Kluyveromyces lactis: one gene and its partners. The protein of the gene in region 2 interacts with the protein of the main gene of each other region in a biochemical or structural test. Links are inferred from orthologs where the notes say so. Each region holds a gene or a part of one and is shown on either strand. Other genes may lie near its edges. The genes, in order: APC11, UBC1 and UBA1.

Region 1 (2,439 bases), on a different chromosome or scaffold from region 2:
TCATAAATTGACGATGGGCCGAAGCGTTCCCAGCATCAAACATATTACAACTGCATGTTCTTTTTCATGTTCTTTCTAATTTTCTTTCCTGATTGTTCTTTAATTGAAGTTTAGAATACTGTTTTAACAACTGATCTTATCGTTCATTTTAATTCTAATACAGACTTTACCGCATATCATACTATAATATTTATAAAAACAATCATTAATTCAACAACATCTAATCTGCCCGCAAATTAAAATCTTACGCGTTATGTTTCCAGTAAATTTTCCGTTTTAAATATAAATATGCATATATTCAGGATAGCGGGTGGTATCTAGTATTATTTATACACTATTTATGCTTTAATGCGTCCGGCAAACCCATAGGTATTCCATCCTTTCCCCTGTTTCTTTAGTTCTCTCTTATTTATCGATGATACGGCTGTTGGTCAAGAATGAAATAGTGAAATTTCTTGCTATTTAAGAAATTGGTTCTTGTCACATACAACCTTAAAATGATGAAACAATATGAACAAGACACGTTAGATTTTGGACACACCGTCTGTCTACACTTTCATAGATTATCAGATCCCAGGCGTTGTTGAAACGAGATGTTGAGTAAGAGAAGTTTGAGGCTGGTAAGTCTCACCGGTATGGTGATTTTCGTTCTTTTCTTCATCAGGCACAATGCAGAGTCCGTGACGCGTTCTTACGTGGGGAAAGAATCTAGCAACCTCGCGAATGATGCCAAGGTCGAGAGTGACATCAACAATATCCAAGAAGGTATTGCTGAAACCAAGAGTAACGCGGTTGTTGCTGATACCAGCAACGCAGTTAAAAATATGGCTGGGCCCAACGGTGTGAAAGACTCTGATTTCGCTGCTGAAGTAGAAACATACAACGCTGAAGCTGAGTACAAGAATATCCTTTCTCAATCACCAATCGTGGTGTTTTCTAAGAGTTACTGTCCTTTCAGTACGAGGCTCAAGAACTTGTTGAAGGAGTATGAATTTGATCCAATTTATACTATCGTTGAATTGGATAAGCATGAGAATGGAGCTGAACTACAGAAATATATCGGTAGCAAGACAGGAAGGTCTACTGTTCCTAACGTTATTATCAATGGTATATCTCGTGGTGGTAGCGATGAATTTGCTGGATTACATGAGGATAATTCATTATTACAGAGCTTGAAGACATGGGCCGGATCTACTTTATCCGTGAAGAAAGCTGCTGCTGCGACTTAAAACTTGGCCTATAACATATATAAACATTCGTATACTATACTACAGTGGATCTGATCCCTTTATTAAATTTGTAATAGAACCTGTGACACTTTTATGCATATGGGTATAATATATTATAAGAAAGGATTAGATAGGAAGAATTGAAAACACAAAGACAGAACGAAGGGAACTGTGACGAGGATAAAGCCTGCGATAAGGATACTTCACCCGTGTTACTATGCGTATAGAGGTAACAGATGTCAGTCTAGTGAGCACTTGGGCGTGGGATATTCCCAAGGATTTATCGAAAGGGAAACATGGTGTTGCAGATCAAACGGTACATATGGAAAAATGGGAAGATATACAGAATGAAGATGAGGATGCAGAGAACGATGAAGAAGAATATGAAGTGTGTGGGATCTGTCGTAACCGGTACGATGCTACTTGCCCCTCCTGTGATTACCCTGGTAGCGGATGTCCAATTGTGTTAGGATTATGCAATCATAATTTCCATGTTCATTGTATCAAGCAATGGCTAAGTACTGAAACATCAAAAGGGTTGTGTCCCTTGTGTAGACAAGGATTCCAGTTGAGGCCTAACGTTCTGATAAATAAGATGCACCATGATGAGTTCCAGAAACTGTTGATGAGTGTGAGACAGCACAACATTCCGATGGGTGGTGGTGAAATAGATCAAGATGTGATGGATGATGGCTTCATACGATGAAGGGAAGACTCGATATGCTGAAGATATGTGTGTGTACATCTATTTAATTGGTAATAGGATAGAGTAGTGGTTCAAATCATCAGTGATGGGCTAAGTATACTAGGTAGCGAGGCCATATTACAGGTGGTGTCTCTTGCTCACATGAGACAAAAAAGAAAATGCTTCCAACCAGAGTCGAACTGATGATCTCCACATTACTAGTGTGGCGCCTTACCAACTTGGCCATAGAAGCTGTTAATTTCTTGTTTGATGGGGTAAGAAAAACAACTACACCTGATACTTTTACAATCAGATGATCAAGCTCATGTGAGAATACACAACCACTGGTTCAATAAAAAAGGGCGATAAGCTAACCAGTATACTATTGTAAAATGGTATCGTGTTGCAGTCAATGTTTGTTCGTCAGTACACACGTCGATTGTACGTTGACCTACCGTTTCAGCAAGCCACGACCATGCGGTACCTATCGTGTGGCTTTTCCCCAAAAGCACTCTTATCACGTGA
Region 2 (2,693 bases):
GACGGCCCAAGATACATCCCAGCATGGATCGTTCAAATTGTGCTATCGTTCTCCATTGCTCCATCGATTGCAATCGTCATCTGGTACATTCTAAGGAAGAGAAATCAAGAAAGAGCCATTAATTTGGAAGCTGAAGAAAAGAAGTTCGGTTTGATCGAAGTCAACGGTGAAAGCATCAAAGCTAACATCGCAATGTTGGATTTAACAGATCATGAGAATAAAACTTTCATTTATCCATTGTGAAAATAATAATGACGATATGTGTGTGTATGTATATATTATCCAGTTGCGACATTTCATATTGTAGCATCGTGTTTATATTAAATTGACTTTAATAATACCGGAATTGATTACAGAGAAAGCAAATAATAGTACTTATATATACGGTTTCATATATGATGAACACACTTCTTGGTTATAAGAGAGATAGTGTGTGTGTGTGTGTGTCTTGTCTTGTCCTTCTTTCCTGAAATGTTCAAGTCTGAACTTCTTGACATGGAACACTTATTCTTTTAGAAGCTCTTCTAAGATTTTATTGGCAGTTTCATTATCTTCCATGCTCATGCTCTTGATGTTTAACCTCTTTAAAACTTCAATAACGTTTTGTCTGTCAAATCCTTGATTGACAAACTGCGTCACCAAATCTTGATCAATTCCGTACAGATCTGCTTCATCAAGTTCTTGAACATTCTCTTCGGTACCTTTGCCTAGACTGTTGGTACCATTATCCCCTCCGTTACTAGAAGCATAAGTCCTTGTCCATAATGCTGCAGTCTCATCGAAGGATTTTTTGTCAGTCAAATAATGTTTGGCAACTTGTGCATCCTGTGGATCATTTGGTTCCGGTGACTGTAATAAAGCTTGTAAAGAAATCAATGCAGATTTCAATGTTATAACTGGAGTCCATGCATTCTTTAATATATCAAGGCAAATAGCACCAGTTACAGATGATACATTGGGATGGTACACCTTTGTGTCAAACTTCATTTGGGGTGGTTTATACGGATATTCCACGGGTATATTTATATCAACGACGAATTTACCTCCCTCGTATGGCGTTCCACTAGGGCCAATGAAGCTGCCCTTCATATGATGGATATCAGACTCATTGACAAACTTTAACTCAATTTGGGCCTCTGGATCCTCTTTCACCGCTTGGATTTCCTTCAAAATTCTCTTCGACCTTAGCATCCTGTTAGATTAATTGGTAATTCAGTGGCACTTTCAAATGCACCCGCTCCAGTTATTGGGTGTAATAAACCGTTCTCGAAAGATGTGATAACTATGAATAAGCACACGTATATATGTATGATCTTTTCTTTCCATACATTAATGGATGTTCAATCGTTTGCATACAGTATCATCAATGTTAATGGTATTTGATATAAGAAGTAGAAACTGGTGATGAGGGTAACAAAGACATGTTTCCCTTTCAACATAACTGAGTTAAACATCACCTATAAGATTATAGTACATTGGTATATACTGGTTCGTTGTGTATATTAGATAGAAGGTTCACGTATTATGTGGTTGAAGAGGAAGCAGGAAGTTGACTTTCATCGTCTTGTTCCGCGAAGTGCAAGAATGTGTGATCTCCCATCTTTCTTGGAGTGATAATCAATTTAATGACAAATATTACACCGAACAAGATTGCAATACCGGCCACGATAAGGTATACTATCCCTAGCGACATGTTTCTGCCACCGATAATACTATTTGTTGTCAAGATGTAAGATTTACTTCCTCCAAAGATCTGTACTGGATAATTTAACTCGACAGTGGTTTCGTAAGTACCCTTTTTCAACGTGCTAGTTTCGTTTTTTGCAGCTAGTTTATAGAACTTGGGTAGACCTGCAGTTCTCATCCATACTTGTAGTTCTTCCCATGTTGAAACGTCTGGAATATTATCATCAGTATAACCGTCTGGGTATTTTTTACTCCAATTTGGAGGAGGCACTATCTGAGAAGCGTTGTATTTCGTCTTCTTGTACCTCTTCCTATCGGTACTCCATGAAATTCCCTTGTTCGTTAACTCATATGAGTCGTTTTCGTTAGACGTGTTGTTCAAGGATAATGAAATGGTATCGTTAAAGAGGGAATTAGCGATTAAACCGCATGGATATATCGCCTTACCGTCAGATTCCTTGAGCGGTTTACACTCACTGACTAAGTCATCAGTATCCACTGCTTCACCTTTTAATTGCCTGATATCAAACGAAGAAACGTACTTTCTGTGGTTTTGGTAAAAGTTGGTCAATTTGTAATAGATGTAAATAGATTTCTTAATATCGTTTGGAACTTCAAACTTTAGGTAGCACTTGGTTATACCATCTGCTGAGTTCACTTTCCATTGGGGAGCAGCAGATGGCTTACCCTTGAAGTGGTATCTCACATATTTCGATGGGATGTTAATATAACTCCCTCCAGCTAGCGTCCGACAATCACTGTAGTCGATACTTAAATTTTGAACGTTATTGACAGTTATTATGAGCCCGATTCCGATTGGTGCAAAGATAGCCGCTACTATAATCAATAGCGGGAGAACTGACTGTGGGGATAAGATCGGCTGCCATGCTTTCAATCTCTGTTGCCTGAAAGCACTGTTTGGTGGTCTTTTAGATTTCCTACTCGAAGGTACTTCTTCAGATTCAACTGAATTTCGATGGTTTGAGAAAAGCCTCATCACAAATTCA
Region 3 (4,259 bases), on a different chromosome or scaffold from region 2:
TCAACACCAGGGCTCCCGCTCGTAGTGATATACCGTTGAGAGTCTAGCTGATGGAGGAATAAGTATGTATTGTTTATCATTGATAATACCATTTCCATAGTTGAAACACTCATTCTTAAAGAAATTCATTACCCGGATATATAATTTACTATACTTTTACTATACCTGGTTTCGATCATGCAAATAACGATGGATCCTCCACTTTGAAGCTCGAGATCATGTCCCGAAGCAACGAATAGGACGCGTGCACCCTTTGAGGTAGCTTTTCCGGTGAGTTTTGCGCAATTGCCTGTTCCATGGCCTTCAGTTCTTGTTCCGATGAGATAGGCACGTGAACAGAAATGATGACGTCGGTATCGAATTGATCCAACCTGAGCAATGCAACACACATTACTACGGTTTCCTTCATCGATTGTTTGCCCCACTTGTATGCGGTCTCAACAACGATACATGTCTGTGATTTGAGTTCCGTTTGCTCTTGATGGTCAATTACTGTCCATTTCTGTGATCCGTTGAGTTCTGAAATTTCTGCCAAATGGATATCTAACGCTTTTCTGTCATTATTCTCTTCCACACGCTGCATTAGGTCTACGATCACACTTTCATCGAACCCGAGCCCATCCTCACTAGGTTCATTCTCACGTCTGCTATTCACGAACACTTCCTGTGTGTCTGGTACTTGCCTTAGCATTGAAGCATCAAGAAACGTCTTGGGAATGACGGTGCTGATGGCACCGCCGTACAATTCTTGTCTGATCCAATGGGACATGGAAAATTAGATATATAGGGTTGTCAGACTGTGGGTAGAGTAAACAATCGCGCTGTCCTTGCCAGTCGAAGTCTCTCCCTCTCTCTTTATCTCTTGAGAAGGACATCTCGTCTTCAAGGTAAGGGAAAATCAAATATCACATTTGACGAACATTCAAATATTATGTGGTGTGCTGGTGTAAATGCATTTATTGTATGCAATGATGGCTTCAAGCATGCCAAATGGGTTTAAATCAAGTGATTACTGTCTCGTATTAATTAATTATTTACGAAACAATTTATATGGGCTCTTGGAACCATACTATCACCTCAAATGCTTCACTTTCTGTCGTATTGTATTCGAACATCTTCCATTCATATCACGTGACTGAAAACTCAACCACTCACGTGACCGAACCCAAAGTGGCAAAAACCGAATTAATAAGGCCAACAACCTATAAACAACTACAAACCAGTTTCCTTAAAACAACAATAGCAACAAGAAGTGAACCGTTCGTTCATTTTGATCACATTGCATCACAAGTTAGTATCAGATATGACGAATATTAAGGTTGATGGCGAAGAAATTGACGAGAGCTTGTACTCTCGTCAATTGTACGTATTAGGTAAAGAAGCGATGTTAAAGATGCAACATTCGAACGTTTTGATCATTGGGTTAAAAGGTTTAGGTGTCGAGATTGCCAAGAACGTTGTCTTGGCCGGTGTTAAGTCTTTAACCCTTTATGATCCAAGCGCTGTCGCTTTACAGGATCTTTCTACGCAGTTTTTCCTGTCAGAACAAGATATTGGGCAAGCTAGAGATAAAGTATCACAGGCAAAATTAGCCGAATTAAACTCATACGTGCCAGTGAAGGTGCTAGAGGGGCTAGAAGACGTGTCACAATTGTCTGAATTCCAAGTAGTTGTTGTGACAGACACGATTTCACTAGAAGAAAAGGTGAAGTTGAATGAGTATACACACTCTCACGGTATCGGTTTCATTTCTACGGAGACCCGTGGGTTATTTGGTAACGTTTTCGTCGATTTAGGTGAAGAATTTACCGTTATTGATACTACTGGTGAAGAGCCAAAGACAGGTATTGTTTCTGATATCGAGTCGGATGGTACAGTGACCATGTTGGACGATAACAGACATGGGTTAGAAGATGGCAATTACGTCAAATTCTCCGAGGTGGAAGGTCTTGAGAAGTTGAATGATGGTACTCCTTACAAGGTCGAGGTGTTGGGTCCGTTCGCATTCAAGATTGGTTCTGTTAAGGATCTTGGTACATACAAGAAAGGTGGTCTGTTCACCGAGGTCAAGATGCCACAGAAATTAACGTTCAAGTCTTTAAGGGAATCTTTGGCAACACCAGAGTTCCTGTACTCGGATTTCGCCAAATTCGAGACTACTGCACAATTACACTTGGGTTTCCAGGCCCTACATCAGTTCCAAGTTAGACATCAAGGTGAATTGCCAAGGCCATTTTATGAAGAAGATTCTAATGAATTAGTTAAACTCGTTATAGATTTAGCTACACAACAACCTGAAGTGCTGGGTTCTGAGGGGAAAGTTGATGAAAAGCTCATCACAGAACTAGCTAACCAAGCAAGAGGTGATATTCCAGGTATCGTTGCTTTCTTCGGTGGTCTGGTTGCTCAAGAAGTGTTAAAGGCCTCCTCCGGTAAGTTCACTCCTATTAAACAGTACATGTATTTCGATTCCATCGAATCTCTACCAGATTCTGAAGATTTCCCAAGAAATGCAGATACCACGAAACCAATCAACTCTCGTTACGATAACCAAATTTCCGTATTCGGTTTGGAATTCCAAAAGAGAATCGCAAATTTGAAGGTATTCCTAGTGGGTTCAGGTGCGATCGGTTGTGAGATGCTCAAGAATTGGGCTTTACTAGGTTTGGCTTCTGGCCCTGAAGGTAAAATTATTGTTACCGACAATGACTCAATTGAAAAGTCGAATTTGAATCGTCAATTCTTGTTCAGACCAAAGGATGTCGGCAGAAATAAATCTGAAGTTGCTGCTGATGCTGTAAGTGCAATGAATCCTGATTTGAAGGGCAAGATCGAGCCAAAGATTGACAAAGTTGGTGCTGAAACAGAGAATATTTTCAACGATGCTTTTTGGAATCAATTAGACTTCGTTACCAACGCATTGGATAATGTGGATGCTCGTACCTATGTCGACCGTCGTTGTGTGTTCTACAAGAAACCTTTACTAGAATCGGGAACATTGGGGACAAAGGGTAATACACAAGTGGTTATCCCTAACCTGACAGAATCTTATTCATCTTCAAGAGACCCTCCTGAAAAGTCAATCCCATTGTGTACATTGCGTTCATTCCCTAATAAGATTGATCACACTATCGCTTGGGCCAAATCCCTATTCCAAGGCTACTTCTCTGACGCAGCTGAAAATGTTAACCTATACTTGACGCAACCAAACTTCGTAGAACAAACTTTGAAACAAGCCCCAGATGCCAAAGGTATCTTAGAATCAATTAGTGATTGTCTAAACAATAGACCTTACAACTTTGAAGATTGTGTCAAATGGGCAAGATTAGAATTTGAAAAGAAGTTTAGTTATGATATCCAACAGTTTCTTTACAACTTCCCTAAGGATGCAACAACATCCACCGGGGAGCCATTCTGGTCTGGTCCAAAGCGTGCCCCTGAACCATTAGTCTTCAATATCGAAAACCCAGATCACTTCCACTTCATCGTTGCATCTGCTAACTTGCGTGCGTTCAATTATGGTCTAAAGGGAGATGATGGTAAACCAGACATTAACTACTATCAATCCGTCCTATCAAAGCTTATAGTTCCTGAATTTATTCCAAAAGCTGACATCAAAATTCAAACCAATGACGATGAACCAGATCCAAACGCGAACAACCAGCTTGGTGGCGATGTCTTAGAAAACTTGGCAGCTTCTTTGCCAGATGCTTCTACCTTAGCTGGTTTCCAACTAATCCCAGTTGAATTTGAAAAGGATGACGATACAAACCATCATATTGAGTTCATTACTGCTGCATCGAACAACCGTGCTCTAAACTACTCTATCGAACCAGCTGATCGTCAAAAGACTAAGTTCATTGCTGGCCGTATCATTCCTGCCATCGCTACAACCACTGCTTTGGTTACAGGATTGGTCAACCTAGAACTATACAAAGTCGTCGCTGGAAAGACAGATATTGAACAATACAAGAACGGGTTTGTGAATTTAGCTCTTCCATTTTTCGGTTTCTCAGAACCAATCGCATCACAAAAGGGTAAATACAATGATAAGACTTTCGATAAAATATGGGATAGATTCGATATTCAAGGTGATATCACATTAAGAGAGTTGATTGATCACTTCAACAAGGAAGAAGGATTGGAAATTACAATGGTCTCCTACGATGTTTCTTTACTATACGCATCATTCTTCCCTCCAAAAAAACTAAAGGATAGAATGGATCTTCCAATAACTGAGGTTGTAAAATTAGTCACGA

The links.
Region 1: the proteins of UBC1 (region 2) and APC11 form a complex in vitro, tested with the Saccharomyces cerevisiae proteins (3 studies listed by BioGRID). The link is inferred for Kluyveromyces lactis from reciprocal best matches to the Saccharomyces cerevisiae genes UBC1 and APC11.
Region 3: of the proteins of UBC1 (region 2) and UBA1, one has a biochemical effect on the other in vitro, tested with the Saccharomyces cerevisiae proteins (5 studies listed by BioGRID, with this or other methods). The link is inferred for Kluyveromyces lactis from reciprocal best matches to the Saccharomyces cerevisiae genes UBC1 and UBA1.

Annotation. Positions count from the first base shown.
Region 1 is NC_006041.1:1,570,514-1,572,952, reverse strand, and holds APC11 (anaphase promoting complex subunit 11), read left to right. Parts: upstream 1-1,446; coding exon 1,447-1,935; downstream 1,936-2,439. Other genes in the region: KLLA0_E17733g (glutaredoxin), read left to right, coding at 594-1,229. UniProt on the Saccharomyces cerevisiae protein: Probably catalytic subunit of the anaphase promoting complex/cyclosome (APC/C), a cell cycle-regulated E3 ubiquitin-protein ligase complex that controls progression through mitosis and the G1 phase of the cell cycle.
Region 2 is NC_006039.1:1,653,285-1,655,977, reverse strand, and holds UBC1 (E2 ubiquitin-conjugating protein UBC1), read right to left. Parts: upstream 1,192-2,693; coding exon 505-1,191; downstream 1-504. Other genes in the region: YCT1 (Yct1p), read left to right, coding at 1-243; KLLA0_C18634g (CDC50/LEM3 family protein), read right to left, coding at 1,523-2,683.
Region 3 is NC_006038.1:1,252,700-1,256,958, reverse strand, and holds the start of UBA1 (E1 ubiquitin-activating protein UBA1), read left to right. Parts: upstream 1-1,303; coding exon 1,304-4,259. Other genes in the region: Ran GTPase-binding protein MOG1, read right to left, coding at 176-769.